Macaca mulatta: one gene and its partners. The protein of the gene in region 5 purifies or fractionates together with the protein of the main gene of each other region. This does not show direct contact. Links are inferred from orthologs where the notes say so. Each region holds a gene or a part of one and is shown on either strand. Other genes may lie near its edges.

Region 1 (4,572 bases), about 40 Mb from region 5:
AGGAATCATTTTGTCAACTTCACAGGTTTTTGTGTTAAGAATGTAAAGAATGGGAATGGAAAAAGAGCACAGTGCTCAAGAATGATCTCACCTTTTATTCAACAAACATTTACTGACTGTTTTTATAGATACACTCTAGGGGATGCTGTGGAGAATATACAAATGATGCCATCAACAGATATTAAACTCAATTGGGGGAGTTGTGTTTTCTCAAAAACAAAACAAAACAAAACAAAATGGTTTTTGTTAACACAGTATTACCTCGGGATTTCAGGCTGTGGAATGCTCTTTTGAACCTCTTTTCTTCTTCTTCTTTTTTTTTTTTTTTTCTGAGTTGGGGTCTTATGGTGAGATCATGGCTCACTGTGGCCACCTCAAACTCCTGGGCTCAAGTGATCCTTCCATCTCAGCCTCCTGAGTAGCTAGGACTACAGGTACACACTACCAGCCTAGCTAATTTTTTTACTTTTTTGTAGAGACAGGGTCTTGCTATGTTGCCAAAGCTGGTCTTGAGCCTCCTTGTGCACTCTTCTCTCTGCCTGCCCTTCAGAAGTCAACTAAGATATCATTTTCTCCAGGAAGGCTTGCCTGACATCCTTGTCCACCCCACACTCAGCCCAGACTGGATTAGGTGCCTGTGTGATGCCAGTGCCAGTATCCTCATTAGGGTTCTCGTTATATGATATCACAGTTTTCTTTATTTTCCCCACAGATTATGACTGTACCTTTTAATTCTGTAGCTGGAGCACAAGAAGTGTTTGTTTAATGAATGACGTACACACATTTAGGATCTGTTTGGACGCTGAGGATAATCCTGTGAATTGGTGAGTTGGAGTCTTCATGAGATTTAGCAAACTGATTTTAGCATTCAGGAGTGATCACAAATCTCTGACAGTTCTCACGTAGAGTAGATTAAATTCACTGGTTTGTCCACTTTCCCCTCTAACTATACTGAGATGTGATAGTTTATTCTTTTAGCTAGAGTATTTCTTTGAATGTGACTAGAACATGAGATTAAAGTGATAGTTTGCTATTTTAAATTCTTACTGAAAGAGTTTTTGATTTTACAGAGCTGTAGATCTCCATAATGTAATAAAAATGTAATAATCATATACCTAAAGACTTTAGAAGTTGGCTGGGTATAGTAGCTCTTGCCTATAATGCCAGTACTTTGGGAAAATGAGGAGGGAGGAACACTTGAGCCCAAGAGTTTGAGACCAGCCTGGGCATCAGAGAGAGATCCCATTTCTACAAAAAACACAAAAATTAGCCAGATATGGTGGTGTACACCTGTAGTCCCAGCTACTCTAGAGGCTGAGGCAGTAAGATTGCTTGAGCCCAGGAAGTTGAGGCTGTAGTGAGCTAAGGTCATGCTACTGTGCTCCAGCCTGGGCAAAGAGCAAGATCCCATCTCTTAAAAAGACTTTAGAAGTCTGTGTGAATTCAAATAAAGTTTTAATACTTCCATTCACTTTAGTACACAGGCTTGCAAACTGATTTTATGTTTTGTATCTGAGACTTTATTACCTTCAGTTTTTCCTCCTCTCTTTCATTTTTATCAGCTAATAGTTCACTGGGTTTGGCCCTTAGTGTTGACTTCAGTATGCTGAGACGAAAACCAACACGCCTAGAGCTAAAGCTTGATGACATTGAAGAGTTTGAGAGCATTCGAAAGGACCTGGAGGTATGAATACAACTTTGTGTTTTTTTGAGATGGAGTCTCGCTGTGTCACACAGGCTGGAGTATAGTGGCATGATCCTTGGCTCACTGCAACCTCTGCCTCAGCCTCCCAAGTAGCTGGGACTATAGGTACATGCCAGCATGCCCGGGTCATTTTTGTGTTTTTAGTAGAGACGGGATTTTGCCATGTTGGGGCCAGGCTGGTCTCCAACTCCTGACCTCAAGTGATCCATCCGCCTCAGCCTCCCAAAGTGCTGGGATTACACATGTGACCCACTGCACCCAGCCAGTGATTGATTGCAGAAATCATGTCTGTTTGCATCACCATTTCCTACCATCTAGCTCATGGTAGGAGCCCCATATGTATTTTTAAGTGTGGCCTTGCTACATGGTATTAGATGTCCATTAATAAGACTTAAATTATTCAGTGGTCTACAGAATAAATTCCAAATTCCCTAGCATGGCATATGAGGTCCTTTGTGAGCTGGTCCTTGCTTATCTCTCCACTTTCACTGCTGGGTTATCTTTAATCTCAATGCCTATACACAAGTGTTCCCTTTGCCAGAAAAGTCCTTTATTTTTCTTTGCCAGGCTAACTCTTACTTCTTCCAGCCCCCAGCTGGGTTAGGCTCAACCTCATCCTCCTGTGCTAACCTCTCTCATAAGCACTGTTAGTCTCTGTTGTAATTGTCTGTTTGCTTTTGTTTTCCCTCACTGGGCCATAAGCTCCTTGAAGTCAGGGATTAGTATATTTCTGTCTGCATCTGTTCCCTGCAATACCAGGCCCAAAGGAGGGCTCAATACAAGTCTATTTTCATTTGCTGTCCTAGCAGATATCTTGTACTATATGGCAGAGGACAGTACATTTTGCATGTATTTACCAACAGCTTTATTATGGATTGTATATGCTTCATATTAAGACTAATAACTTAGATTTCTTCCCCCTGCTTCATCCCAAGACACTTTAGTGTTCTCGAAGCATCATAATTTCTGCTTTTAAAAAACTCATATATTATTAAGGATGAGCTTTAAAGTATGGCTTAAACTTCAGTTGTTACAAATCTCATAAAATGCTAGCATGCCGAACTTTGACTCTACAGAGTCAGCTCACTATTGAGTTAGTCTTTTCACCAAAGGCAGTTATCTAGTGGGTTTTGCCCTGTTTTAGAGTAACTTAGGAAGCAGGGACAGTCATGCCCTAAAGTGAAACCAGTAGAAAACTGGCCTGTTTCATTTATTACCAACATGAGTTTGATTATCTACTGTGACTCTAGCTTCTGAAACAGCAGTTGCTCAAAGTGGGAACCCTTTTAAGTGATTTCATTCCACTTGGATATTCTCAGAATGATAGAGTTGTTTGCCTTTTAGAACTTGTTTTCACAAAGATATTTAGGTAGAACTTTCTAACATCACTTACTAGTAATCAGGAAGGTCATTTGCCACATAAAAGGCAATACCTTATTTTATTCACTGTAATACTTTGTGAGTGTTGGCATTTATTTTATTTTTTATTTTTATTTTTGAGACAGGGTCTTGCTCTGTCGCCCTGCTGGTGTACAGTGGCATGATCACCACTCACTGCAGCCTCTACCTGCCAGGCTCCAGTGATCCTACCACGTCCGGCCCCCTGAATAACTGGGAATACAGGCATGTGCCACTATGCCTGGCTAATTTTTAAATTTTTTGTGGGCCGGGTGTGGTGGCTCACGCCTGTAATCCCAGCACTTTGGGAGGCCGAGGCAGGCGGATCACGAGGTCAAGAGACCATCCTAGCTAACATGTTGAAACCCCATCTCTACTAAAAATACAAACATTAGCTGGGTGTGGTGGCATGCACCTGTAGTCCCAACTACTTGGGAAGCCGAGGGCAGGAGAATCGCTTGAACCTGGGAGGTGGAGGTTGCAGTGAGCCGAGATGGCGCCACTGCACTCCAGCCTGGTGACAGACCGAGACTTGGTCTGAAGAAAAAAAAAAAATTTGTGGGGACAGATGGAGTCTCACTATGTTGCCCAGGCTAGTGTCAAACTCCTGGGCTCAAGCAGTCCTCCCAAAGCAGTGGGATTTACAGGCATGAGCCACTGCGGTCAGCCCGATGCTTGGCATTTAAATGCCCACAGTCCAGCAGCAAGTGGTGAAGAATGGTGGTAATTCCAGTGATTTGAGTAGCTGAGCCATTCTATTATTATTAAGGAATTTTGGATAAAACATCATTTCACTCTCTTAGAGAAAGTTATCATCTGTTGTCCTTACAGTCAGGTAGTGGCAGTTACGGGATAAGTGTTTCTTTTTGAAAATGATCAAACTGAGACATACTTTGTGGATTCTGCAGTCACATGTGACTTAAGAACCAAACCTTTTATCTGAAAACAAAATGAAGCCACAAAACCCAGACCTTTTGATAAGATAGCATAAAACCTTCTCATGTTACTTTTAATCTCATGGGATCAGTTAGGCTATAGATTTTTGGTGGTTATTTCTTTACCAGTCAATTTATTTTTCTGTCTATTCTCTAGAATAATAAATTTGTTGAAATACCCTTTGCTCCCCCTTGTCTGCTCTTACATCTTTCCAGTTGTAGCTTCCTGTTGTACCACCACACCCCAACTCCTTACCTCGTCTCTTTGGCAGTGTTGACTTCCCTCTGTCATAGGTCATAGCCCGGATCACCCTATAATCGTCTCTTTGGCTGTTTACCTATTAGACTGTGACATCCTGGAGGGCAGGGGTTACATCTTTTTTTTTTTGAGATGGAGTCTCACTCTGTCACCAGGCTGGAGTGCATCTCGGCTCACTGCAACCTCCGACTTCCTGGTTCGAGTGGTTCTCCTGCCTCAGCCTCCTGAGTAGGTGGGATTACAGGCATGTGCCACCATGCCCAGCTAAGTTTTGT
Region 2 (4,444 bases), on a different chromosome or scaffold from region 5:
CTAAGAGCAAGTAGGGCCTAAATCTCCAAACGTGGAAACTATGCTTTGACAAATCACTCAGAACCAAGAACCAAGTGAAAGGTTCCAGAATAAACACAGAAGGCTGACAGAGACCAGGGCTCCTGTCAACATGAAGTGGATGGTGGCAAAATGATGGGTCTCACTAGTAAGGTCCAAAGCACACTAATGAGGCCGGGCTCGGTGGCTCACGCCTGTAATCCAAGCACTTTGGGAGGCCTAAGTCATGGGGATCACTTGAGGTCAGGAGTTCGAGACAAGCCTGGTCAACATGATAAAACTCCATCTCTATTAAAAAAAAAAAAAATTAGCCAGGCGTGGTGGTGCGAATCTGTAATCCCTGTTACTCAGGAGGCTGAGGTGGGAGGATCGCTTGAGCCTGGGAGGTGGAGGCTGTAGTGAGCCAAGATCGCACCACTGCACTCCAGCCTGGGCAACAGAGCAAGACTCTGACTGAAAAGCAAAACAAAACACCAAAGCACACTCATGAAAATCCAATGGGCAGCAGCAGCTGCATTGTAAGCACTTTAAGGACCTTTCCCTTCTGACCTAGACCAGCTTCTATAGCAGGCCAAACACTAATACATCTACAGAGTAGAAGTTTCCATGATAATGCCATTTGGAGGTAGCAGACTGGTGGCTCAGAATGGAGACTCTCCAGTCAGAGAAGACCAGGTCCAGACATTGTACTCCTCCATTTATTAGATGTGTGAACTCAGACAAGGGTATTTCACCTCCCTGAAGTTGTACTCACTTCCTCAACACACTCAATAAGCATGTGAGTGCTTAATGCGCACATCCACTGTGCTTTCAATTGCTAGGCGATGCGAAGGGTAGAAAAGTGGGAGTACCTGAGAGTCCTGGGAGTCAGAGAAGGTTCTCTAGGAGAGATGTTCAGGCTAAAACCTGAAGGAGGAGGCAGCGCTGAGATAAGGACTGTTGCAGCAGGAACAGCAAGTACAAGGGCCCAGAGAACACGCTTGGTACATTCAAATAACACAAAGAGGCCAAGCGCGGTGGCTCACGCCTGTAATCCCAAAATTTTGGGAGGCCGAGGTGGTGGGATCACCTGAGGTCAGGAGTTCAAGACCAGACTGGTCAATATATTGAAACTCCGTTTCTACTAAAATTACAAAAATTACCTGGGCATGTGGCGCTCGCCTGTAATCCCAGCTACTTGGGAAGCTGAGGCAGGAGAATCGCTTGAACCCAGGAGGCGGAGGCTGCAGTGAGCCGAGATCGCGCCACTGAACTCCATCCAGCCTGGGCGACAGAGCAAGGCTCTGTCTCAAAAAAAAACAAAAATAAATAAAAATAAATAAATAACAGAAAGAATAGCCAGAGAGGCTGGAGAGCAGTGAACACAGTAATGAGATGAAGTAGCAGAGAGTGAAGGGCAGATAGTTCCTTTCGGAGGCCATGGGAAATAATTTTCATTAGTGCAATAAAGGATTTTTTTTTTTTTAAGACGGAGTCTCGCTCTGTCGCCCAGACTGGAGTGCAGCGGCGCGATCTCGGCTCACTGCAAGCTCTGCCTCCCGGGTTCCCGCCATTCTTCTGCCTCAGCCTCCCCAGTAGCTGGGACTACAGGTGCCCGCCACCACACCCGGCTAATTTTTTTGTATTTTTTTTAGTAGAGACAGGGTTTCACCGTGTTAGCCAGGATGATCTCGATCTCCTGACCTCGTGATCCGCCTGCCTCGGCCTCCCAAAGTGCTGGGATTACAGGCTTGAGCCACTGCAACCAGCCAGTGAAGGATTTTAAGCAGGAGAGGGGCATGTCCTTAAGGATGGACACTCAAGGATGGAATCAGCCCAGTGCTTCAATGAAACAAGAAAGGCGCCACGCCCACCCATTAATGGAATCTCCCGTTTCTTTTTTGAGACAGGCTGTCGTTCTGTCGCACACGGTAAAGGACAGTGATGCGATCACGGCTCACTGCAGCCTCGACCTTCTGGGCTCAAGCAATCCTCCTGCCTCAGCCTCCCGAGTAGCTGGGAACTCAGGCACGCACAATCACGCCCGGCTAATTGTTTAATTTTTATTTTTCATAGAGCAGGGTCTCCCTATGTTGCCCAGGTTAGTCTTAACTCCTGGGCTCAAGCGATCCTCCCGCCTCGGCCTCCCAAAGTGCTGGTATTAGAGGCGTGAGCCATCGCGCCCGGCCCCGTTTTCAGGGGTTTCCCAAGGCGAGAAAGTGGACCCTCCTGATACACTTAATGGGGTGACCAATCTCAGATGCGGGGCTAGAGCATAAAAACCAGGAGGCTGGGTCCCGGAGCTGCAGCGAGAGAAAAAAACGTTCTCTGGAAGGAGCCGAGAGGGGAGGATTCGGCCCAGCGATGTGACAGTCGCGCTACCCCGCGACAGGTGCCTCAGAAAACCCTCGCCTGGGTCGTCCTCAGAGCCTCTGCCTTCTATTTGTCCAAGCCGCCGCTCGCCACATCTCCGCAGGGACTTGACGCCGGCACCCAGTGAACCCAACTTGCGCTCCGAAGTCTGCTCCGCTCCACTACGCCCTCGCAGACGCCGGAGCCTCCGCTGGTGCGGGAGGCCGCTCCTTCCCGCCTGTTCCCGCGTGCCCTGAGCCCCCGGTCCCAGACCACTGCCGCTTTCTCCTCAGCCCCAGGCCGCTCCCCGCCTCAACTCACGGGTTGTTATTACTCATTGTAAGTAACAAGCTGCTGAGGAGCCGCACGTTGGAGTGCAGCCCCGCGGCCGCCATGTCCCGCACGTGGTCTATCACATTCATCCTGCCCTGCAAGGCCGCGGGCAGCGGCGGCAGCACTGTCTCGAAAAACCGGTAAGGGATCCTTAGGGAAGACTCCAAAATGGCCGCGTCGCCGGGGTCCATCGGGTCCACACGCGGCACCGCCCCCAAGCAAGAGGTAACTACTGAAGTGCCCGAATAAAAAGAAACTCGAGTCCCTGCTCCTGTCGTGGTCCCTTTCCGGTGAAATGAGTTGTTACTTTTACGCAAAAATTACGTCATCATCCTAAACTGCAAAATTTACTGAGGACTTACAATGAGACAAAAGTTACCTTAGTAAGACTACTTGGTCAATTTGAATGAGTCTGAGAGGAATTTGGGCCTCTCAGAAATTAAAATGTGTGAGCATTTACCAGAAATAAAATATAGTAAGGTGAGGAAAAGCGCTCCAACTGGAATTAAATATTCTAATCGGGCGCCAGGGACAGACCTAACGGCTTTTACAGTCGCGCATGCGCACCAGGCAGGGGCCGCCGCCTCCCTGCTCAGGTGTTTTGTGTTCCTGCTAAAGTCAGGCTTTGTCCCTGGATGAACTTGTTAATTCGAGGGGCGTATTTTACCATGTAAAATGATTCCCTAAATCCGTGGAAATAAAGACTAGATCCAGGAATTAGCTGATACCCATATAAACCAGCATGTGTCTGGCACAGTTAACTTTTTACAAAAGTTTTACACAAGTTATTGGACGTTCACAACAATCCATAAAGTTGAAGTTGTCTTTCCCTTCTCACAAGGGAAGAAACTGCCTGCTTAAATTTTGTGCTCAGGTTGTTAAATGGTTGACTTGGAATCAGATCGCCAGTGGTTAAATGTGATGGATCGCAAACTCGAATGTATACAGAGACCAGGGAGGTAACTGAGCCAATGAGGCAGTTTAGGTATTTGAATCAGAATCCCAATATCCTCCACAATCACCCTCTCAGATATAGCCTTTCGCTCCTTTCTTGAAGGAGACAGTTGTTTTGGTCTATATTTTGTTTTCATTTGATTTTTAGAGTAACAGATGCAAAAAAAAATGCTCTGAAAAAATCACGGTATATCTTCACCAGTCAACTTTTTCAGCTCTTACATTTTGTCACAGTTGAAGCTCCTGTGATCCTTTTCCCATCTCATCCCCTACTCTAGTTTTCTGGATGTATGAGACCTTTGATGTGATTTTGGTAGGCATGATCACTGTGAACTTTTCTTTTTTTTTTTTTTTTTGAGATGGAGTTTTGCTTTTGTCGCCCAGGTTGGAGTTCAAAATCTCAGCTCACTGCAACCTCTGCCTCCCGGGTTCAAGTGATTCTCCCTGCCTCAGCTTCCTGAGAAGCTGGGATTACAGGCACCTGCCACCACTGTCACGCACGTCCGTGTGAAGAGACCACCAAACAGGCTTTGTGTGAGCAACAAGGCTGTTTATTTCACCTGGGTACAGGTGGGCATGTAGGAGGATGAGCCGCAGACAAAACTCCTCAGACACCAAATTAAAGAAGGAAGGAGTTTATTCGGCCAGGAGCATTGGCAAGGCTCCTGTGTCAAGAGCTGAGCTCCCTAAGTGAGCAATTCCTGTCCCTTTTTTTTTTTTTTTTTGAGACGGAGTCTCGCTCTGTCGCCCAGGCTGGAGTGCAGTGGCGCTATCTCGGCTCACTGCAAGCTCCGCCTCCCGGGTTTAC
Region 3 (4,567 bases), on a different chromosome or scaffold from region 5:
AAAAAAAAAAAAAAAATCAGGTTTCTTTTAATCCTATGCCAAATAGATATTTAAAGAAAACTGGCCTGTTTATGCATTGCCAAATTATTAGCTTTCTGGTAATGTACGTATTTCTCCAACAAGCCCTGGATGGAGGCCTCTAGGTGCTCCTTCCCTGGTAAACATGGGACTGTTCATTTGGCTGCGTAAGCTGGGAAAGTTGGTTTGTGTGGGTGCCTAAAAAAGAATCTGTGTTCAATGAAGTATTGTCAATAGGGTGAATTATGTGTTTGGCACACATAAACGGGACAAGATGTGTAAAGTGCTTGGTCAGAGAGCGACTGTATTTCTTCTTCTTCTTTTTTTTTTTTTGGAGACTGGGTCTCACTGTGTCACTCAGGCTGGAGTGCAGTGGCACAATCTCTGCTCACTGTAACCTCTGCCTCCCGGGTTCAAGCAGTTCCTCATGACTCAGCCACCCAAGAAGCTGGGATTACAGACATGCACCCCCATGCTCGGTTAATTTTTTTTTTCTTCATTTTTAGTAGAGACGGGGTTTCGCCATGTTGGCCAGGCTGGTCTTGAACTCTTGGCCTCAAGCAATCCCAATCCGCCTGCCTCGGCCTCCCAAAGTGCTAGGATTATAGGCGTGAGCCACAGCGCCCGGCCTAATTTTCGTATTTTCAGTAGAGACGAGGTTTGCTATATTGCCCAGGCTGGTCTGAACTCCTGGGCTCAAGCGTTCCACCCACCTCGGCTTCCCAAAGTGCTAGGGTTACGGGCGAGGGTGAGTCACGGCGCCCAGTCTAATTTCTAATTTGTATTCAGCTCTCAGCGTGTCCTCAACGTGACCCCACCCAGGTTCAGGGTACTGGAACCTGAGCGAGGAAGGCGTGTTCTGGGGAGAGTAGGTAGTGTGAGGGGCCAGAGTGCAAAGGTCAGAAGGCATTTGGTGGAAGCTGTGTGCAAAGAAGCCTGAGGGGAGGTCCTTCGATCTCGGTTACCTTGGCGATCTCTACCAGAGGGTTAGAGTTGCCAAGAGGCGCCTGCTGCCGCTTCCTTTCTCCCGCCCTCCCTTTGGTTTAGCTCCGCCCTCTGCTCCCACAGGTTAAAAGCAGACGCCGACGCGGTTGCCTAGTGACACTTTTCCCAAGATGCCTAGGGTATTGTTGTGTTCTTCTTAGCCAATCAGAGAGGCGAAGCGGGCCCACCGCCTGCCAATAGACTGCGAGATCAGGGCCCGCGACAGTTAAACGGGGCCGAAGGCAAGGGTGACTGGTTAGCGCTGCTCGGGGGCTTCTCCGTGCTGGTCCCTGAAGCTCCCGGTCCCGGTCCCTGGAGCTCCGCATTTGGGGGCGCAACCTGCGTGAGGCAGCGCGACTCTGGCGGCTGGCCGGCCATGCCGTCCCGGGCTGAGGACTATGAAGTGTTATACACCATTGGCACAGGCTCCTATGGCCGCTGCCAGAAGATCCGGAGGAAGAGTGACGGCAAGGTGAGCGTGGTCCCTTCCCTGTGCCAGCCTCTGCTTAGGGGCGAGCGCCCTGCGCCACCGAAGGGAACCGAGAGGGCTGGGGAAGTGGGTGCCCGGAAGACTCAGCCGTCTTTACTGAGTCTGCATCTGACAGCCTGTCCTGGGTCGCTTAAAGGATGGGAGACCGCGTCTTTTGATATATGTATTTCCATCTTTTCCCGTTTCTCTCCCCATTTCTCTCTTCTGCTTTGGGTTGCTAAGGACCTTCCATTGGTGACACGTAGCTAACTCCTGAGCTGTTTTTAGAGCTCTAAGAGTGGCCCTCTCAGACACAAGAAAGGGGCAGGACCACCAGAACCCGAAGCTTTGTATCTGCAGTCAGACTCCCTCAAAATACCCATTATTCGGATTATTGGATTCATATTTCCCAATGTATACAGGTAGACCTTTTACAGAAAGTAATATTGGACAGGAAACTGCCTGGCTGCTTTTCCAAGGTGTCTCATCCTGGGAAAACACGACTGAGGTGGAATGGGGCAGGGACTTTGACCACCTCCACCCCAATTTTGACTAAAGTACCTTTTTGCCAACTTCCCACTAACCAACTGAGGGTAGGGGTTGGGGGAGACCTCATGTGCCTTATTCCCCTTTATCTCCCTACAATATCATTTACTGCTTAGAAATTGAAAGAAGATTATGGAAGTAAACTCACAGTTCCTTAAGTTCATTGAACTAAATTAGATAATGACCTTGATTGTAGGATATAATTAAAAGGAAGGTTATTTTTTAAATCTTGGAACTTTCATTCTTTGTTTTTGAGCGTAATGAGTTCATTCATACCTTGGAAATTCTTATTTTAGATATTAGTTTGGAAAGAACTTGACTATGGCTCCATGACAGAAACTGAGAAACAGATGCTTGTTTCTGAAGTGAATTTGCTTCGTGAACTGAAACATCCAAACATCGTTCGTTACTATGATCGAATTATTGACCGGACCAACACAACACTGTACATTGTAATGGAATATTGTGAAGGAGGGGATCTGGCTAGTGTAATTACAAAGGGAACCAAGGAAAGGTAAGCATAATCTTTTAAAAATGTAAGCTGAAATTAGGTCTACTTTCATTTATTTTAAGCATCTTGTTTTAGGATCAGTAATATGGAAGAGTATACTTGCATTTGTTTGGTAGGTCCATAGTACTTTAGAAAATTCCCGGTGAATCAACACCCATATTTTATATCAAAATAACAATCTATAGGCTGAGTGTGGTGGCTCACACCTGTCATCCCAACACTTTGGAAGGCCGATGCAGGAGGATCACTTGAGCCCAGGATTTCAAGATCAGCCTGGGCAACATAGTAGGACCCTGTTTCTACAAGAATTAGCCAGGTATGGTGACATGTGCCTGTAGTCTAAGCTACTTGGGAGGCTGAGGCAAGAGGATTGCTTGAGCCTGGGAGGTCGAGGCTGCAGTGAGCCATGATCGTGCCACTGCATTCCAGCCAGGGTGACAGAGCAAGGCTCTGTCTCAAAAAATATAAATAAATAAATAAATAATTGATTTCCCTATTAGTACACTGGATAATTTATATCATCCCATCTTGGCAACGATTTTTTTTTTTTTTTAGAAGTTATATGCTGTATAACTGTTTTGGTTTCAGGCAATACTTAGATGAAGAGTTTGTTCTTCGAGTGATGACTCAGTTGACTCTGGCCCTGAAGGAATGCCACAGACGAAGTGATGGTGGTCATACTGTATTGCATCGGGATCTGAAACCAGCCAATGTTTTCCTGGATGGCAAGCAAAACGTCAAGCTTGGAGACTTTGGGCTAGCTAGAATATTAAACCACGACACGAGTTTTGCAAAAACATTTGTTGGCACACCTTATTACATGTCTCCTGTAAGTATTTCAGAATTTAGATACTTTTTAAAACATCTTTTATTTTTGTTTTTTTGTTTGTTTTTGAGACAGAGTCTCGCTCTGTTGCCCAGGCTGGAGTGGAGTGGTACGATCTCGGCTCACTGCAACCTCTGCCTCCTGGGTTCAAAGGATTCTCTTGCATCAGCCTCCCGAGTAGAGTAGCTGGGACGACAGGTGCATGTCACCATGCCTGGCTAATTTTTGTATGTTTAGTAGAGACAGGGTTTCATCATGTTGGCCAGGCTGGTCTCAAACTCCTGACCTCAAGCAATCTGCCCACCTCAGCCTCCCAAATTGTTGGGATTATAGGCGTGAGCCACCGCTCCCAGCCAAAACATCTTTTAATGTTAAGCATTCTGAAGCAGGGAAATTGAGTTTTCTGTTTGTTTAAGAATTGAAAATACTGTTATATTTTTCCACATGGACCACCAGACCAATAAAGTCTATGAGTTTTTGTTTGCTTCATGAATTATGTGTAATAATGTAAGTATGATGAAGACAGATTCCTACTCTAAGGTTTGCTACTGTTTGTCATCTCTCAGTGGGTTCAATTTTTTGAGCATTCATGCAAATTAAAGCATATTCAGTTCAAGCTTTTATGGAATGATTACAATGCATTAAACTCAAGGATTACAAAAATGAAATGGATTTTGTCCCTGCCCTCAAGAGCTGTTTCCAATGTGTAGGTCCTGGTCATCTGCATCAGACTCACTTGGAGTGTCTGTTTAAAATGCAGAGTTCTGGGTGCTAAACCAAACCCAAATCCGTCGAGTGAATTTCGATCTCTGGGTAGGTTCTTGAACTCTTGTTTTTTTTTTTTTTTTTTTTTTTCTTCAATATTGTACTTTTTATTTTAGACTTTGCATTTTAACAGACTCTGTAAATGATTCTTGTGCATGCAGAATCAGAGCTCAGGAAGTTTGCTCACTGAGATAGCATGTTTTTACAATGTAACTTTTTGTACGTGTTATTTTTTTGTTGCCTTTTCCTGAAATATCGCGCTGAGTCCACTCACCAATTACCTCTATTGCTGGATATTTTGTTTCCAAAATGTTTCACCATTCTTAGAAGTACTGTTCTGCATATCTTTGTATGAATTATTCTTTCTTCCTTTTTGGTTATTTCCTTGACATGCAGCTCATAAAATGAAATTGCTGGGGTAAAAGGTATAAACAGTTTATGGCTGTTG
Region 4 (4,607 bases), on a different chromosome or scaffold from region 5:
GTTGGCTTTAGCTGAATTCCAAATCAAGTTGACATTTTTTGAAAGCAGGAAGCAATGACAGAGTGGACTACTGATGCTGTCACCATCTGCCAGCACAACGTAAATTAGAACAGAAAGGACTAAGCAAAGGCATTCCACCTTTTAAAGAGAGAAAATGGCATCAGTACAATCAACATATACAATTTTTACAAACAACTTTTAGAGTTGCATCTACATACATTTTAAAAGGCAGTGTGCCTGTTTATAAATCTCTACCCCATTTTAGTTTCAGAGCCTTTTTTACTACCCTGATCACTGATCATGCCACAGTCAAAAGGCAATCTCAAAAATTAATCTAAAAATAGTACTGCATTCCAAATAAGAAAATATATATACTTTGTTTTACTATTAAGCTACAGCTAACAGAAATCTAATCAACGATCCTTATGATTTTCTCTTACCTAAAAAATAAACGCAAGCACGTGAGGAACTGTATAAATACAGAGCATCTACCCTACAATACTGCTTTATAAAAGAATAAATTCTTTTAATAAGTTTAACCGGACATAAAGCTCAGGGAAAACTACTTTGTGCATATTAGTGTACGGTGCTTAAACTATACAAGATGACTAGTCTCTGACATCATACACATCTTTACTCTCCTGATGTCGTATACGACATAAAAAAAACCACATTATAAGCCTAAATGTACTGTCTTCAAGTATCTCCATGATTAAAGTGTTCCTAAGAAACCGTCCTTGTTTCTTTCTATCCCTGATCTGTGTGCATGGAGCAGTTAGTTCAGGGTTCTCCAATTTCAGTCCACGATTTCTGCCATATTTCCGTACCTGCTGTACTAAACATAACCGTTTACACCAACTCACTATTTTAAAAGCTGCCAACCTTAACATGCCACCCTAAATGAGCGGGTCCCCTTGTGCCGTGAATGAAGTAGTCCTAACAGCGCTAGCTAAACAGCAGCCCTGGCCGGGAGGCCGCACAGGGGTCCCTCCGCTGAAAAGAAAGGTGGGTCCGCCGGGAAAGGTGAGTACTGGGCGCAGCTCGCCCGCCCACCTGGCTACTCTCCGAAGCGCCCCCAGCCACCCGGCCTCCGAGGAAACGCTGTGACCACCTGGCGGGGCCGAACCGCGCGCCGGGCTGCGCCATGCCGGACTACGCCGGTGTGCAGGGCATAGCGGGCCAGGCCGAGGGACGGGGCTCCGGGGCGGACGCGAGCCGGCGGGGAGGCGCCTGGTGGTTCGCAGACTGTTGCGCGAACCGGCCGCAAGCCATGAGGCCGCGAAGCCAGAGTCACCAAGGCAGCCTGGGCCGCCTCCGGACCAGGACGCGCTCGCCCCTTGCGCTTCCGTCTTGCGCACGGGCGGTTACACGGCTGCAGCAAGCGCATCCCTCAGCCTTCCCGCCGTTACCTCGGGCGTGCACTGCGCACGCGCGCCACCACTAAGCTTACGTCCAGCCTCAGCAGTCGGAGCGTTCGTTCCGCCCACTGCCCCCACACTTTTAATAATTGAATCAATGTCTTCTCCAGACTTCCCCTGCACGCGAGCAAATGGACTCACCCACATCCGGGAATCCGAGAAAGAGCGTGCAGACACGTGATGCGGGGCGTGGCAGGAGGAAGCGTCTGCCGCGCTGGGCCGCGTAACGGTAAGGGTTTGCAGCGCCCCCGGCCTAGGTTTTGGAGGCGCGGGAATGCGTTCGTGGCTCAGTGTCGGACTTCCCCCTATTTCCATCGGCCGAGGCTGTCACTTTACGCTCATAACCGTTTTCTTTACTGCACGCTGTGTCGGGAGGAAAGGGACTTGCTTGGCACCCCAGACCTCCCCGTCTCCGCTTCCACGTTTGGTACATCCTGCGTCAGGCCGGAAGCCGCGGCTGAGGGGCGGCCTCTCGTACAGTGTGGTGGCCTGCGAGGCTCATTTCTAGCAAGGAACAATATTTTCCCGCTTTGACCTTACAGATACATGTTTACAAAGCTATAATGTATAGAAATGGATAAGACATGTCCCTGTCCCGGGAAACGCAGGCACTGCGTGTCTGGAAAGACATACATCTGGGCTGTTTGACAGGCTACCTAGTTGGTGCCATGCTCTGTGCTTAGGGAACTATGAGATCCCCGGTGGGTACTGGGACCGCGCTCAGCCTGAGGTTTGGAGGCGGCCTCCTACAGGAAGCGACTTGAGACCTGAGATTTTTAGACTGACTATGGGTTCGCTGGAATAAAAAGGAAGAAACAAACAGCATTGCAGGCATCGGGACTGTCACGTGTAAGAAAAGTTTGTTCAGGAAACAGTGGTCGTATTGTGTGACGAGTATTTGGGACGGTGGCTGTGCCTTGGGCATTGATTAGATTATCTTGTTGCTTTCCATCCTTCCAGCCCCTTAAGAGTGAAGGCACCTTCACGCCTAACCCCGGAAATGGGATGTTGACCTCCAAGAGCTGACGCCTGCGTTGATCTTGAAAGGAAGAGTGGCATTAGTGATGTGGAAAGGGGGGTTTTAACTGTCAAGGCTGGAAAATGTGACAGGGTTTGAGGTGTTTGGAGAAGGGACAGGTGAAAAAGATTGAGGCCAAATTGTAGAAAGATCTACTAAGGAATCCTGGGTACAAAATGTACACATAACAGTTGGAGACAATAATACCTGAGCAATTGATCACAAAGCTTGTTTAGTAGATTTAAGTTAGGACAAGAAGCAAGAGTTCAAGGATAGAAGGCCTACTGAAGCTCGAGTGATCTGAGAAAACCTTACTAAAAGGTGGAAAACCTATGTGGGCCTGGGAAAGTCAGGTTTGGATCAGCTGAGGAAAGTGAAAAGGGTATCCCAGGAGACACAGCAGCAAGGACAAAGGAGTAGCAGCAGGAAAGTGGGGAGCTCTTATAAGACAGGGACTTCAAAAGTATAACCAAAACTTCGTCTTGCTTTGAGTTATCCACTGGGTAGTAGGGGGTTAATTATTGAGTACTGGATTAATTAAGCCCTCACCTGGCTCACCGGTGACAGAAGTAGCAGGGCGCGTTTTGCTTAAGTTTTGCCCAGATCTTTTAAACCCTTTCCTACACACCAATCTGTGTATAATTTTTGCCAAGGTGTTGGGGATATCTTGCAGTTATCCTATGGGGGACATCTGTGAGCCTTTTTTTTTTTTTTTTTTTTTTTTTGAGACCAAGTCTTTTTTTTTTTTTTTTTTTTTTTGAGACGGAGTCTTGCTCTGTCACCCAGGCTGGAGTGCAGTGGCCAGATCTCGGCTCATTGCAAGCTCCGCCTCCCGGGTTCATGCCATTCTCCTGCCTCAGCCTCCCGAATAGCTGGCACTACAGGTGCCTGCCACCACGCCCGGCTAATTTTTTGTGTTTTTAGTAGAGACGGGGTTTCACCGTGTTAGCCAGGATAGTCTCGATCTCCTGACCTCGTGATCCGCCCACCTCGGCCTCCCAAAGTGCTGGGATTACAGGCGTGAGCCACCGCGCCCGGCCATGTGAGCCATTTTTACAAAAACTTCCACCTGCCTTGGCCCAAACCTCAGCATTCTTAGGCACAGGAGCTCATGAACATACTGAGATAACACTAAAATGGACTATGGGAAGGGACCAACTACAGACCTGACACAAATCCTCAAGGCAAGACGATGTCTGAAGTTGACCTTGTAAAGGAAAAGGCTTCCTTCCTTAAAATAGCACCCAGGCTGAGCTCTGAAAAAAGCACCTCAAGATGGTGGGTTCCACCCCGCCCCCGCCAAAATTGCTTATTGTGTGAGTCTCCATAGTCTCAGAAACAGAATAACTGAGAGTACCTTTGATGCCAGTGGCTTCTGGGCTTTTTGGATTGTGACTTTGTAACAGGGAGCACCCATAGGATGACGCCTATGATGAATCAGGGCCCAACCTTGGAAACAGGGAATCCAAAAGTATCCTCCAAGCTAGCCAGCCTTTTGGATTAGAAAGCATACCACAGATAGGATGAAATTAAGCAAGGTTGTCTACTTCTGAATTAAATAATTCATTAACTAAGGACCTATTTATTCTTTGTTATCTATAAGTAATTATTAAGACTGAACTTTGTTTTTAAGTTTAAGATAATATATTATTGCTTTACAATAAATGATAGCTCTTTTCAATCTGTTCAAGTATGTTTGAATCTGTCTTGTAGAACAAGATGTATGTGATTCAAATATAGATAAGTAAATATCATTTAATATATATTGAGCATAATTTTAGAGGGGAAAACACGTTCACATACTACGAATTAGAATCCAGCGGAAAATTTTAAGTCTGGATATTGCATAACAGTTTGCTAAGCATAAAGCAAAACATAAATTAAGGTAATTGAAAAGAAATATATTGGTATCTGTGAACTCTGGTACAAAGCAGAGTTCAGTAGTAATACATTTAAATTTAAAATACAAGTAAATGGTCCCAGATCCTACACTAAGTGTGGCCCATGACTTACCATTTTAAGAAAATTGCTGGTAGGGTGTGAATTGGTCATTTGTTGGGGTTTTTATTGCAGCTTCAGAGAAAAATGGGGAATCAGCCATGGTCAAGGAGCTAAATAAGTATCCTGGCCATTTGGGCCAGAAATTAAAGGGAGTGCAGCATTAAGAATTA
Region 5 (4,005 bases):
GACACCCTCACATGGGGCCTCCAGGCCTCTGCACTGTTGGGGTGTGGTCTGGGGCTCTGCTCTGGGCTCCCAGGGCCATAGGGGAGCTGGGCCCACCCCTGTGGGTCCCCCTACCCTGTTCCCACATGTCACCTGTCCTTTCCTCAGTGCTTCGGAGTCCACCTACTGAGGTGCAGATTGGCTGTGATGTCAGGCTTTCAGAGAGAGAGGGCGTCCCCGCAGCGGTGGGCAAGAGTGGGCAGTCGGGTGGAGAGGGTGAACATCTGTGCGGTCTTGTTACTGGGTAGCAGGTCTGTGGGATGTGTGCACGCCTGGGACCCCGCGGTGGAATTGCCGTCTAGGGGTTTGTGCTCACTCAGAGACGCTCTTGCGATGTACGGTGTCATCTGCATGGCGGGGGAGTGGGGGCTGGTCACATGTTTGGTCTCAAGAGCGTGTTTATCCATTTAAGTGGGGGCAAATGTGCCCGCCAGGCACAGCGCACAGGCCATGTGTGTCCATCACGTCTTATGCTAGGGCTGCTGTTGCCAGTGATAAGTGTGGGCACTGGTGCGTGTGAGAGGCATGAAGACCAGAGGGGGGCCGGGACATTGCCTTTTGGGCCATCACCCACCCTGCAGGTTTTGATGTGCTTCCGCCTCCAGACACAGGTGGCCTTCGGGCTCCCCTTGGTCCTGGCCGACACAGTGGGTGGCTGCGAGGCTCCTCCCAGCCTGTGAGTCAGCCTGGGGCTCACCGTGCCTTCCTACAGCTCACGCTAGCGTTCTCCCGACAGTGGATCGAGCGGGTGGTCGGCTGGCTCGGCAAGGTGTTCCTGCAGGACGGCCCCGCCAGGCCTGCGTCTCCTGAGGCTGGCAACACCCTGCGCCGCTGGCGCTGCCACGTGCAGAGGTTCTTCTACCGCATCTACGCCAGCCTGCGCATCGAGGAGCTCTTCAGCATCATCCGAGGTTGTCCCGCCCCGGCCTCGGGTCCTCTCTCCTGTCTGGGGAGCCTTCCCAGGGCCTTCGCCGCGTCTCCTCTGTGTCTGCGTCTGGGCTCCCCGTGCCTTCGCTGTCGCTCTTGCAGGGGGGTGCACCGGGCAGGGCTGGGACCCTCCCCACCGTGGGTGTCCCCTATGCCTGGATCAGGGCAGGTGTGGCAGATGCTGGACGGTGCTTCTAGGTGTCCACTGCTATGCTCCCTTGTTCTTGGCTCTTGCTGGGGACTGGCCCCTGGGTGTTGCTCTGTCCACCCTGTGGCATTGTGGTCAAATGCATCAGCACGCCGAAGTGTCCGGGGGGACGTCTGGTGCCTAGCAGGTGGTCTCATCATCTTCCTGGGGCTGGCGAGCGCATGTCCTCTCACACACTGCACACACCCTGCACCAGCCCGCACGTGCACACACATCTGTGTTCGTCCCTGAGGGATGTTCCTCTTCTTGTAGACTTTCCAGACTCCCGGCCGGCCATCGAGGACCTCAAGTACTGCCTGGAGAGGACAGACCAGAGGCAGCAGCTGCTCGTGTCCCTCAAGGCTGCCCTGGAGACTCGGCTCCTGCATCCAGGTGCCGTGTGCTGCCTGGCTGCCCAGCGCTCGGGGCTTAGACACTCACCAGGGTGCCCATGTCCAGGGAGCCTGGGGCCCAGTCTGCTAGCCCTGGACTTGTAGGTCTAAGGAAGGAATGGGTGGAGAAGCAGTTGGCGAGGTCCTTAGGGGATCTCGAGTGCCCATCAGCTTGCTTGTTTCTTCTTTGAAGGGAGTCGGGACTGACTGGTAGGTCTGAGGTGATGAGACTTAATTCTCTCAGAACAGACCACCCTGCAGGGCAGGGCCTGTGAGCAGGTAGAGATGGGGATGGGGGGACAAGGGAACAAGGCTGCAGTGGGGACCTGTAGACCACCTGACCGGCATGGCCAGCTGTCTACTCGGGCGTTGGCCCCTGGGAGGCTGTGGTCCCGGGCACTGCATGACTGCTGGCCTCTGCCCTGTCTCTAGGCGTCAACACGTGTGACATCATCACCCTCTACATCTCTGCCATCAAGGCGCTGCGTGTGCTGGACCCTTCCATGGTCATCCTGGAGGTCGCCTGTGAGCCCATCCGCCGCTACCTGAGGTGAGGGCCGCGCCGGCCTGGGAGCCACTGGGACCCCCGGCATCCTGCTGAGCTCCTCGTGGTCCTGGGGGCAGCCAGAGGGTGTGCTCAGCCCTCAGGACACAAGGTCTCCCCCAGCTGGGGAGTGCACAGGATCAGGCCCAGGGCTCTTTCCTTTCCTCTTGCCGGTGCTGGGCACCTGTCCTTGTCACACGGTGTCACTGTGCCCTCTGTGTGCAGCTGCCAGAGGCCCACCGCAGCCCTTCCTCTGCCTCCTCCTCCCCAGTGCAGAGAGAATCTCTTCCACTTGGCCTCGCCTTGGTGCTGACCAGCCCCCCCGGCTGACCAGGCAAGGAGAGTGGGCTCTGTGCTGTCCCAGCCTTTCCTACAACAAGGAACAGACACTGCCCGGGGTTGTTCGGTGGAGAATGTGCTGGAATGAGGACCTTGACGTGGCCTCCTGGAAATTCCTCAGGGCCGGCAGGCACTGCAGACCCCAGAAGCCGAGCGGTAGCAGCTGGTGGGAATCTGGCGCCTGTCTGGACTTGTTTGGTGCTTTGTGGCTGTAACTGGCCTGGCTTCTGGGCCAGTTCTTTTTTTTTTTTTTTTTTTCAGAAGATATATCTTTTTTTTTTTTTTTTTGAGATGGAGTCTCGCTCTGTTGCCCAGGCTGGAGTGCAGTGGCCGGATCTCAGCTCACTGCAAGCTCCGCCTCCCGGGTTTATGCCATTCTCCTGCCTCAGCCTCCTGAGTAGCTGGGACTACAGGTGCCCACCAACTCACCCGGCTAGTTTTTTGTATTTTTTAGTAGAGACGGGGTTTCACTGTGTTAGCCAGGATGGTCTCAATCTCCTGACCTTGTGATCCACCCGTCTCGGCCTCCCAAAGTGCTGGGATTACAGGCTTGAGCCACCGCGCCCGGCCAACTTCTTTTTTTTTTCTTTCTTTTTTTTTTTTTTTTTTTTTTTTAAGTTTTAGGGTACATGTGCACAACGTGCAGGTTTGTTACATATGTATACATGTACCATGTTAGTGTGCTGTACCCAGTAACTCATCAGCACTCTGGGCCAGTTCTTTGTTTTTGTTTTTTTTTTTGAGACAGAGTCGCCCAGGCTGGAGTGCAGTGGCGCGATCTCGGCTCACTGCAAGCTCCGCCTCCCAGGTTCACGCCATTCTCCTGCCTCCGCCTCTGGAGTAGCTGGGACTACAGGCGCCCGTCACCACGCCCGGCTAATTTTTTTTTGTATTTTTAGTAGAGACGGGGTTTCACTGTGTTAGCCAGGATGGTCTCGATCTCCTGCCTTCCTGGTCTGCCTGCCTCAGCCTCCCAAAGTGCTGGATTACAGGCGTGAGCCACCCCACCTGGCCTTTTTTTTTTTCCGAGACAGGTTCTTGCTGTGTCGGAGTGCGGAGGCAGAATCCTATCTCCCTGCAGCCTCAGACACCTGGGCCTGAGTCTTCCTGGCTCAATGTCCCTAAGTGCTGGGAGCGCGCTCACAGCTCCTGCTGTTCCCGAGTAGCGTTGAGTTTATTTGTTTTTAAGGAGTCTGACGGGCCTGTCTTTAATACACAGCCTGTCACACTGAGTGTAGAGGCAGGGTGGGTGGTGCTGGCCTAGATGGGGCCGGGACTGGGGTGAGTGGTGGGAGGTGCACGCAGGGTGTCCACACTGTGGGCCACAGCAGCACTCACGTCGGCAGGACACGGGAGGACACGGTGCGGCAGATTGTGGCCGGGCTGACAGGGGACTCGGACGGGACAGGGGACCTGGCTGTTGAGCTGTCCAAGACCGACCCTGCAAGCCTGGAGACAGGCCAGGACAGTGAGGATGACTCGGGCGAGCCGGAGGACTGGGTCCCGGACCCCGTGGATGCCGATCCAGGTCAGCCCCGCACGGCCCTGTTCACCAGCGGGGTGGGGGCTTCAGCCAG
Region 6 (4,005 bases), on a different chromosome or scaffold from region 5:
CATTTTAAGTAAACTCTTCAGGTGATTTTTATGCCTCCTGATAAGAATTATTAGTCTAGCTCTTCAAATGACATGGTTACAGCCTGTACCCTGATCTTGGCTAGTCAGTTAGCCAATGATGCTGAACAAGATGGTGAATGATTTGATGCAAATCTGGCTCTGGTGCTAGAAAAACCACACAGCATCATGCTGCAGTGGGTCAGGAGTCATGTTCACATAAAAGGGCACTGTATTAGCTTTTATTCCCTCTTAGAACCTTTCTGACAGGGTGAATCTATCTGTAGATTAATCATACTATAAAAAGACACATCAAACCTACTACCATGGGAGGTAGACAGGTGCCAGGATAAAGCAAACTGGAGTAGGAGGTCAAGAGAATTCCTGGACTCAGTGCTGACTCTGGTTTTTTTTTTTTTTTTTTTTTTTTTTTGAGACAGAGTCTCGCTCTGTCACCCAGGCTGGAGTGCAGTGGCTCGGTCTTGACTCACTGCATGCTCTGCCTTCCGGGTTCACGCCATTTTCCTGCCTCAGCCTCCCGAGTAGCTGGGACTACAGGCGCCCGCCACCACGCCCAGCTAATTTTTTTTTCGTATTTTTTAGTAGAGACGGGGTTTCACCATGTTAGCCAGGATGGTCTTGATCTCCTGACCTCGTGATCCGCCCGCCTCGGCCTCCCAAAGTGCTGGGATTACAGGCGTGAGCCACTGTGCCCGGCCAACTCTGTTTTTTTGAGACAGAATCTCATTTTGTTGCCCAGGTTGGAGTGCAGTAGCATGATCTCGGCACATGGCAACTTCTACTGTTCAAGTGATTCTCCTGTCTCAGCCTTTCCAGTAGCTGGGATTACAGGCGCCTACCACCATGCTCGGCTAATTTTTGTATTTTTAGTAGAGATGGGGTTTCACCATGTTGGCCAGGCTGGTCTCGAACTCCTGGCCTCAAGTGATCCGCCTGCCTTGGCCTCCCAAAGTGCTGGAATAACATGGATAAGCCACGGTGCCCAGCCCTACCTCTGCCTTTAACCTGGTCAAATCACTTAACTTTTCTGGATCTAAATAACTTTAGATGACTTCCTTGATTTCCAAAGTCCTTTTCAGCTCCAACATTCTGATTCTGGAGCAAGACTGTTTTTAAATATATTATTTTGAGATGGGGACAAGAGATGAAATGTAGAGCTGAAATCAGGGCAAACTCATCTTTAATCCACTTAATAGCTTCTTCACAATTAATATTCATTGCAGGTCTGAATCCAATTATTCAGAAAGCAGCATGAGATCACCTTCTAACATCTCTCCAGCTCCTTTGGGGTAGGTGAAAAGGGCTTTCCGTGGTGGGGCAAGGTCTGAGACACTGAAACCAGATCCAGTGACAGAACTTCCACTGACCCCACCAGCTGAAGAGGATGATGATGAAGCAGCCATTTCCTCTCTAGCAGAGTTCTTACTTCACTACAGAGAAAGAAAAACAGCAATTGGCAAGTTTATGGAAGTGAGAGTGACAACATTTCATTCGAGCTGCCGTAAGGGTCAGCATGCAGTTTTATAAAGAGTTAGCTCCCCGTTTTTCTATCCTCTCTACTTTCATGATATTTTATTGATGTCTCAGGCCAAAATATCAGTCAGGTTTTGAATTGAAAATAAGCTTAAGAATAGTATATCTACTTAAAACATGAATTCCTACCATTAGCAAACTGTTTATGTCAACTGAGATTGACTGTGGGTGATTCATGAGTTATGAAGGGGTGATATGGCAGTGCCAAGGCAGAAATTTGACTGAGGAAATAAGTTATATGAGGATAAAAGCATCACACTTCACAGGACAGTTTGTCTTGGATACATCCTGATCAAGCCACATAAATAAATTATAATATTTTCCAAATAAAATTCCAGAGTAACACTGTGTTCTGTTCCCAGGGAAGGGGAACTAGTTAGGAAATACCTATTGGCCTTCTCATTAAAAATTAACTTTTGGCCAGGCACGGTGGCTCACGCTTGTAGTCCCAGCACTTTGGGAGGTGGAGGCAGATAGATCACCTGAGGTCAGGAGTTCAAGACCAACCTGGCCAACATGACAAAACTCTGTCTCTACTAAAAATACAAAAAAAATTAGCCAGGCGTGGTGGTGGGCGCCTCTCATCCCAGCTACTCGGGAGGCTGATGCAAGAGAATTGCTTGAACCCGGGAGGCAGAGGTTGCAGTGAGCCTGGGTGACAGAACAGGACTCTCTCTCAAAAAAAATTAACCTTTTCATTCAAATGTAATACCCAAACTTATCACTTGGTGGCGTCCCAAAACCGGAACAAAAAGTTCAGGAAACAATCTTGGAAATCATTGCCTATTATGAACAGAGCACCTGTGAGTGTTTAACCTTATTGCATATCAAAAAATGCAAATGTTATAGAGAAAACTGTCCTGAATACATGACACCTTACTAAAGTTCAAAACAAACACTCTCTTTGCCACAGAAGCTTACACAACTTTAACAAAAATTCTAAAAAGTGTATATGGTATTTTATTTTTTTTTGAGACACAGTCTTGCTCTTGTCACCCATACTAAAGTGGCACGATAGCAGCTCACTGCAACCTCCACCTCCTAGGTTCAAGCGATTCTCCTGTCTCAGCCTCCCAAGTAGCTGGAATTACAGGCATGAGCCACCATGCCCAGCTAATTTTTGTAGTTTTAGCAGACACGGGGCTTCACCACATTGGCCATGCTGGTCTCGAACTCCTAACCTCAGGTGATCTACCTGCCTGGCCTCCCAAAGTGCTGGGATTATGGACATAAGCCACTGCATCTGGCCTCTTTCCATTTTTTTTTTTTTACAACAGAGATGAGGTCTTGCTATGTTGCCCAGTCTGGTGTGTATATATGTATGTACATATGTATTTATTTACGGAGTCTCACCTGTCGGCAGGCTGGAGTGCAATGGCGCGATCTCTGCTCACTGCAACCTCTGCCTCCCAGGTTCAAGCGATTCTCCTGCCTCAGCCTCCTGAGTAGCTGAGACTACAGGCGCCGCCACCAAGCCCAGCTAATTTTTGTATTTTTAGTTGAGACGGGGTTTCACCATGTTGGCTAGGATGGTCTCCATCTCTTGACCTCGTAATCTGCCCGCCTCGGCTTCCCAAAGTGCTGGGATTACAGGCATGAACCATCGTGCCCAGTCAGTCTGGTCTTTAACTCCTGGTCTCAAGTGATCCTCCCACCTTGGCTTCCCAAAGTCTCACTGCGCTCAGCTCTCTAAAAAGTGTACACAGTATTTTTTTTTTTTTTTTTTTTTTTGAGACGGAGTCTCGCTCTGTCGCCCAGGCTGGAGTGCGGTGGCGCGATCTCAGCTCACTGCAAGCTCCGCCTCCCGGGTTTACGCCATTCTCCTGCCTCAGCCTCCAGAGTAGCTGGGACTACAGGCGCCGCCACCTCGCCCGGCTAATTTGTTATATTTTTAGTAGAGACGGGGTTTCACCGTGTTAGCCAGGATGGTCTCAATCTCCTGACCTCGTGATCCACCTGTCTCGGCCTCCCAAAGTGCTGGGATTACAGGCTTGAGCCACCGCGCCCGGCCGGTATACAGTATTTTTTAAAGAAAAAATGGCCAGGTGCGGTTGCTCACACCTGTAATCCCAGCACTTTGGGAGGCCGAGGTGGGTAGATCACGAGGTCTGGAGTTCGAGACCAGCCTGGCCAACACAGTGAAACCCCATTTCTACTAAAAATACAAAAATTAGCTGGTCGTGGTGGTGCGTGCCTGTAATCCCAGCTACTCAGGAGGCTGAGGCAGGAGAATTGCTTGAACCCGGGAGGCGGTGGTTGCAGAGAGCCAAGGCTGCACCATTGCACTCCAGCCTGGGTAATAGAGTGAGACTCCATCTCAAAACAAACAAACAAACAAAAAAATTAGCCGGCTGTGGTGGTGGGCGCTTGTAGCCTCAGCTACTCAGCAGACTGAGGCAGGAGAATCACTTGAACCTGGGAGGTGGAGGTTGCAGTAAGCTGAGATCACTCCAT
Region 7 (3,692 bases), on a different chromosome or scaffold from region 5:
TGGCGGGCGCCTATAGTCCCAGCTACACAGGAGGCTGAGGCAGGAGAATGGCGTAAACCCGGGAGGCGGAGCTTGCAGTGAGCTGAGATCCGGCCACTGCACTCCAGCCCGGGCGACAGAGCGAGACTCCGTCTCAAAAAAAAAAAAAAAAAAAAAAAAAAAAAGTACAAAAATTAGTCTGGTGTGGAGTCGCGTGCCTATAGTCTCAGCTACTCAGGAGGCAGAGGCACAAGAAATGAGGTGAGATCATGCCACTGCGCTCCAGCCTGGGTGACAGAGTGAGACTCCGTCTCAAAAAACAAAAAATTAATAAAAATAAAAGTAAAATAAAATAGAAACAGGGCTCACGATGTTTCCCAGGCTGGGTTCCACGATGTTTCCCAGGCTAGGTTTGGACTCCTGGGCTGGAGTGATCCTCCTGCCTTGGCTCCCTGAGTAGCTGGGACTAAACTGTGCCAGGCTTATACCTATTTTGGCGCCTAAATGTTCTAGCTCTGCAGACTCAATTTAGCCAGTCGTCCTGTTCCCCTCCACCACAGGCTCTGTTGCCATGAAGGTGAAGATTAAGTGCTGGAATGGCGTGGCCACTTGGCTCTGGGTGGCCAACGATGAGAACTGTGGCATCTGCAGGATGGCATTTAACGGCTGCTGCCCCGACTGTGAGTGTCCCCTCCATGCTGTCTGAGCTGCCCCAGCTGTGAGTGTCCCCTCCGTGCTGTCTGAGCTGCCCCGGCTGTGAGTGTCCCCTCCGTGCTGTCTGAGCTGCCCCGGCTGTGAGTGTCCCCTCCGTGCTGTCTGAGCTGCCCCGGCTGTGAGTGTCCCCTCCGTGCTGTCTGAGCTGCCCCGGCTGTGAGTGTCCCCTCCGTGCTGTCTGAGCTGCCCCGGCTGTGAGTGTCCCCTCTGTGCTGTCTGAGCTGCCCCGGCTGTGAGTGTCCCCTCTGTGCTGTCTGAGCTGCCCCGGCTGTGAGTGTCCCCTCTGTGCTGTCTGAGCTGCCCCGGCTGTGAGTGTCCCCTCCGTGCTGCCTGCTGCACTAGCCTCGGTGGCTCCTGTTAAACCTGCATGACATCCCCACAGTTCCTTTTCTTTTTTTTTTTTTTTTTTTGAGACAGAGTTTCGCTCTTGTTGCCCAGGCTGGAGTGCAGTGGCGCAATCTCGGCTTACTGCAACCTCTGCGTCCTGGGCTCAAGCGATTCTTCTGCCCCAGCCTCCTGAGTACCTGGGATCACAGGCGTGCGCCACTACACTCGGTTAATTCTGTATTTTTCAGTAAAGACGGGGTTTCTCATGTTAGGCTGGTCTCAAACTGTCAACCTCAGGTGATTCACCTGCTTCAGCCTCCCAAAGTGATGGGATTACAGGCATGAGCCACTGCACCCCCCCAACATTTTCATTGTCATTTCATGAAGAAAAGTTGATAGAAAAAAAGCCAGGTGGTTGGGACTCATGTTTGTATAAAGATCCTGCACAGACTTGATAGCATGAAACTCAGCTGTGAAATACGTGGGATTAAAAAGGGATTAGAGGCCAGGCGGGCGGCCTACACCTGTCATTCCAGCATTGTGGGAGGCCAAGGTGGGCGGATCACAAGGTCAAGAGATCGAGGCCGGCACGGTGGCTCACGCCTGTCATCCCAGCACTGTGGGAGGCCGAAGCAGGCAGATCACAGGGTCAAGAGCTCGAGGCAGGGTGTGGTGGCCTACACCTGTCATCCCAGCACTGTGGGAGGCTGAGGGAGGCAGATCTCAAGGTCAGGAGACCATCCTGGCCAACATGGTGAAATGCCATCTCTACTAAAAATACAAAAATTAGCTGGGCATGTGGCGCGTGCCTGTAATCCCAGCTACTGGGGAGGATGAGGCCGGAGAATCGCTTCAGTCTGGGAGACGGAGGTTGCCATGAGCCAAGAGCAAGACTCCGTCTCAAAAAAAAAAAAAAAAAAGATTAGTTTAAACTTTTTATTTGAAAATTCTCAAAATTGAATGGTATAAGCTAGGTGCAGTGGCTCACGCCTATAATCCCAACACTTTGGGAGGCCAAGGCAGGCGGATTGCTTCAGGCCAGGAGTTCGAGACCAGCCTGGCCAACATGGCAAAACCCTGTCTCTACTAAAAATAAAAAAAAATTAGCCAGGCATGGTGGCAGGCGCCTGTAATCCCAGCACTTTGGGAGGCCAAGGTGGACGGATCACCTGAGGTCAGGAATTTGAGACCAGCCTGGCCAACATGATAAAACCTCGTCTCTACTAAAAATACAAAAAAGTAGCCGAGCATGGTGGCGCATGCCTGTAATCCCAGCTCCTCAGGAGGCTGAGGCAAGAGAATCGCTTGAACTTAGGAGGTGGAGGTTGTGGTGAGCCAAGATCGCACCATTGCACTCCAGCCTGGGCAACAAGAGTGAAACTCCGTCTCAAAAAAAAAAAAAAAAAAAGTTTGATTACATTTAGGTTGAAAGCAGAGTTTTGTATCAGCAAAATGGTTTTTCATGAGACCAAAATGAACGTAAAGCAGAAGCAAGGGTCAAGGTTTTGCCCAGGGAGGACAAGAAGAACTCCCCCGAGGACAGTGGGCAATGGAGAGGACAGCGGGGAATGGGGAGGACCGAGAAGCTCCCTACTATCCCAAGTAACCAGGCGTATTTTTGTGGGGCCAGGTATATGCCCATATTGATTGACAGGGTCTCACTATGTTGCCCAAGCTGGACTTGAACTTCAGCAATCTCACTGCCTCAGCCTTGCAAGTAGCATACCACCACACTCATCTGGCTTTGCTTTTTTTTTTCTTCTTTTTTTGAGATAGAGTCTTGCCCTGTTGCCCAGGCTGGAGTACAGTGGCACCATCTCAGCTCACCGCAACACCCACCCTTCTGAGTTCAAGGGATTCTCCAGCCTCAGCCTCCCAAGTAGCTGGAATTACAGGCGCACACCACCACAGCCAGCTAATTTGTTATATTTTTAGCAGAGATAAGGTTTTACCACGTTGGCCAGGCTGGTCTCAAACTCCTGACCTCAGGTGATCCGTCCACCTCGGCCTCCCAAAGTACTGGGATTACAGGTGTGAGCCACTGCGCCCACCCCTGTCTTTGCTTCTTTTTTTTTTTTTGAGACGGAGTCTCGCTCTGCCGCCCAGGCTGGAGTGCAGTGGCGCGATCTCGGCTCACTGCAAGTTCCGCCTCCCGGGTTCCCGCCATTCTCCTGCCTCAGCCTCCCGAGTAGCTGGGACTACAGGCGCCCGCCACTGCACCCGGCTAATTTTTTGTATTTTTAGTAGAGACGGGGTTTCACTGTGGTCTCGATCTCCTGACCTTGTGATCCGCCCGCCTCGGCCTCCCAAAGTGCTGGGATTACAGGCTTGAGCCACCGCGCCCACCCCTGTCTTTGCTTCTTTAGGTGAAGTTGAAATGACTGAATCTTAGTACAATTTTTTTTTTTTTTTGAGACAAGGTCTTGCTCTGTCACCCAGGCAGCAGTGCAGTGGCAAAATCATAGCTCACTGTAGCCTTCAATTCCTGGGCTCAAGTGATTCTCCCACCTCAGCCTCTCAAGTAGCTGGGACTGTAGGCAGGCTCCACAATGCCTGGCTAATTTGTTTTTTAATTTTTTGTAGAGACAGGGTTTTGCTGTGTTGCCAAGGCTAGTCTTGAACTCCTGGGCTCAAGGGATCTGCCTGCCTTGGCCTAGCAAAGTGCCGGGATT

What was found.
Region 1: the proteins of ANAPC2 (region 5) and CDC26 purify together in Homo sapiens (co-immunoprecipitation; 7 studies listed by BioGRID and IntAct, with this or other methods). This does not show direct contact. The link is inferred for Macaca mulatta from reciprocal best matches to the Homo sapiens genes ANAPC2 and CDC26.
Region 2: the proteins of ANAPC2 (region 5) and ANAPC7 fractionate together in Homo sapiens (co-fractionation; 6 studies listed by BioGRID and IntAct, with this or other methods). This does not show direct contact. The link is inferred for Macaca mulatta from reciprocal best matches to the Homo sapiens genes ANAPC2 and ANAPC7.
Region 3: the proteins of ANAPC2 (region 5) and NEK2 purify together in Homo sapiens (affinity purification with mass spectrometry; 4 studies listed by BioGRID and IntAct, with this or other methods). This does not show direct contact. The link is inferred for Macaca mulatta from reciprocal best matches to the Homo sapiens genes ANAPC2 and NEK2.
Region 4: the proteins of ANAPC2 (region 5) and ANAPC13 purify together in Homo sapiens (affinity purification with mass spectrometry; 3 studies listed by BioGRID and IntAct, counting the BioPlex papers as one, with this or other methods). This does not show direct contact. The link is inferred for Macaca mulatta from reciprocal best matches to the Homo sapiens genes ANAPC2 and ANAPC13.
Region 6: the proteins of ANAPC2 (region 5) and ANAPC16 purify together in Homo sapiens (co-immunoprecipitation; 5 studies listed by BioGRID and IntAct, with this or other methods). This does not show direct contact. The link is inferred for Macaca mulatta from reciprocal best matches to the Homo sapiens genes ANAPC2 and ANAPC16.
Region 7: the proteins of ANAPC2 (region 5) and ANAPC11 purify together in Homo sapiens (affinity purification with western blotting; 7 studies listed by BioGRID and IntAct, with this or other methods). This does not show direct contact. The link is inferred for Macaca mulatta from reciprocal best matches to the Homo sapiens genes ANAPC2 and ANAPC11.

Annotation. Positions count from the first base shown.
Region 1 is NC_133420.1:45,040,966-45,045,537, forward strand, and holds the start of CDC26 (anaphase-promoting complex subunit CDC26), read left to right. Parts: upstream 1-1,603; coding exon 1,604-1,684; intron 1,685-4,572. UniProt on the Homo sapiens protein: Component of the anaphase promoting complex/cyclosome (APC/C), a cell cycle-regulated E3 ubiquitin ligase that controls progression through mitosis and the G1 phase of the cell cycle.
Region 2 is NC_133416.1:117,568,269-117,572,712, forward strand, and holds the start of ANAPC7 (anaphase-promoting complex subunit 7), read right to left. Parts: upstream 2,853-4,444; 5' UTR 2,772-2,852; coding exon 2,671-2,771; exon of another isoform or gene 1,670-2,670; intron 1,204-1,669; exon of another isoform or gene 1,161-1,203; intron 925-1,160; exon of another isoform or gene 870-924; intron 1-869. UniProt on the Homo sapiens protein: Component of the anaphase promoting complex/cyclosome (APC/C), a cell cycle-regulated E3 ubiquitin ligase that controls progression through mitosis and the G1 phase of the cell cycle.
Region 3 is NC_133406.1:69,411,198-69,415,764, reverse strand, and holds the start of NEK2 (serine/threonine-protein kinase Nek2), read left to right. Parts: upstream 1-1,345; 5' UTR 1,346-1,378; coding exon 1,379-1,474; intron 1,475-2,313; coding exon 2,314-2,531; intron 2,532-3,116; coding exon 3,117-3,357; intron 3,358-4,567. UniProt on the Homo sapiens protein: Protein kinase which is involved in the control of centrosome separation and bipolar spindle formation in mitotic cells and chromatin condensation in meiotic cells.
Region 4 is NC_133407.1:37,526,535-37,531,141, reverse strand, and holds the start of ANAPC13 (anaphase-promoting complex subunit 13), read left to right. Parts: upstream 1-1,612; 5' UTR 1,613-1,647; exon of another isoform or gene 1,648-1,693; intron 1,694-2,093; exon of another isoform or gene 2,094-2,267; intron 2,268-4,607. Other genes in the region: CEP63 (centrosomal protein of 63 kDa), read right to left, coding at 1,112-1,387. UniProt on the Homo sapiens protein: Component of the anaphase promoting complex/cyclosome (APC/C), a cell cycle-regulated E3 ubiquitin ligase that controls progression through mitosis and the G1 phase of the cell cycle.
Region 5 is NC_133420.1:5,270,269-5,274,273, forward strand, and holds part of ANAPC2 (anaphase-promoting complex subunit 2), read left to right. Parts: intron 1-775; coding exon 776-950; intron 951-1,426; coding exon 1,427-1,546; intron 1,547-1,977; coding exon 1,978-2,095; intron 2,096-3,774; coding exon 3,775-3,956; intron 3,957-4,005. UniProt on the Homo sapiens protein: Together with the RING-H2 protein ANAPC11, constitutes the catalytic component of the anaphase promoting complex/cyclosome (APC/C), a cell cycle-regulated E3 ubiquitin ligase that controls progression through mitosis and the G1 phase of the cell cycle.
Region 6 is NC_133414.1:77,394,488-77,398,492, forward strand, and holds part of ANAPC16 (anaphase-promoting complex subunit 16), read right to left. Parts: intron 1,449-4,005; 5' UTR 1,422-1,448; coding exon 1,280-1,421; intron 1-1,279. UniProt on the Homo sapiens protein: Component of the anaphase promoting complex/cyclosome (APC/C), a cell cycle-regulated E3 ubiquitin ligase that controls progression through mitosis and the G1 phase of the cell cycle.
Region 7 is NC_133421.1:91,557,320-91,561,011, forward strand, and holds part of ANAPC11 (anaphase-promoting complex subunit 11), read left to right. Parts: intron 1-539; 5' UTR 540-550; coding exon 551-659; intron 660-1,433; exon of another isoform or gene 1,434-1,623; intron 1,624-1,703; exon of another isoform or gene 1,704-1,942; intron 1,943-3,692. UniProt on the Homo sapiens protein: Together with the cullin protein ANAPC2, constitutes the catalytic component of the anaphase promoting complex/cyclosome (APC/C), a cell cycle-regulated E3 ubiquitin ligase that controls progression through mitosis and the G1 phase of the cell cycle.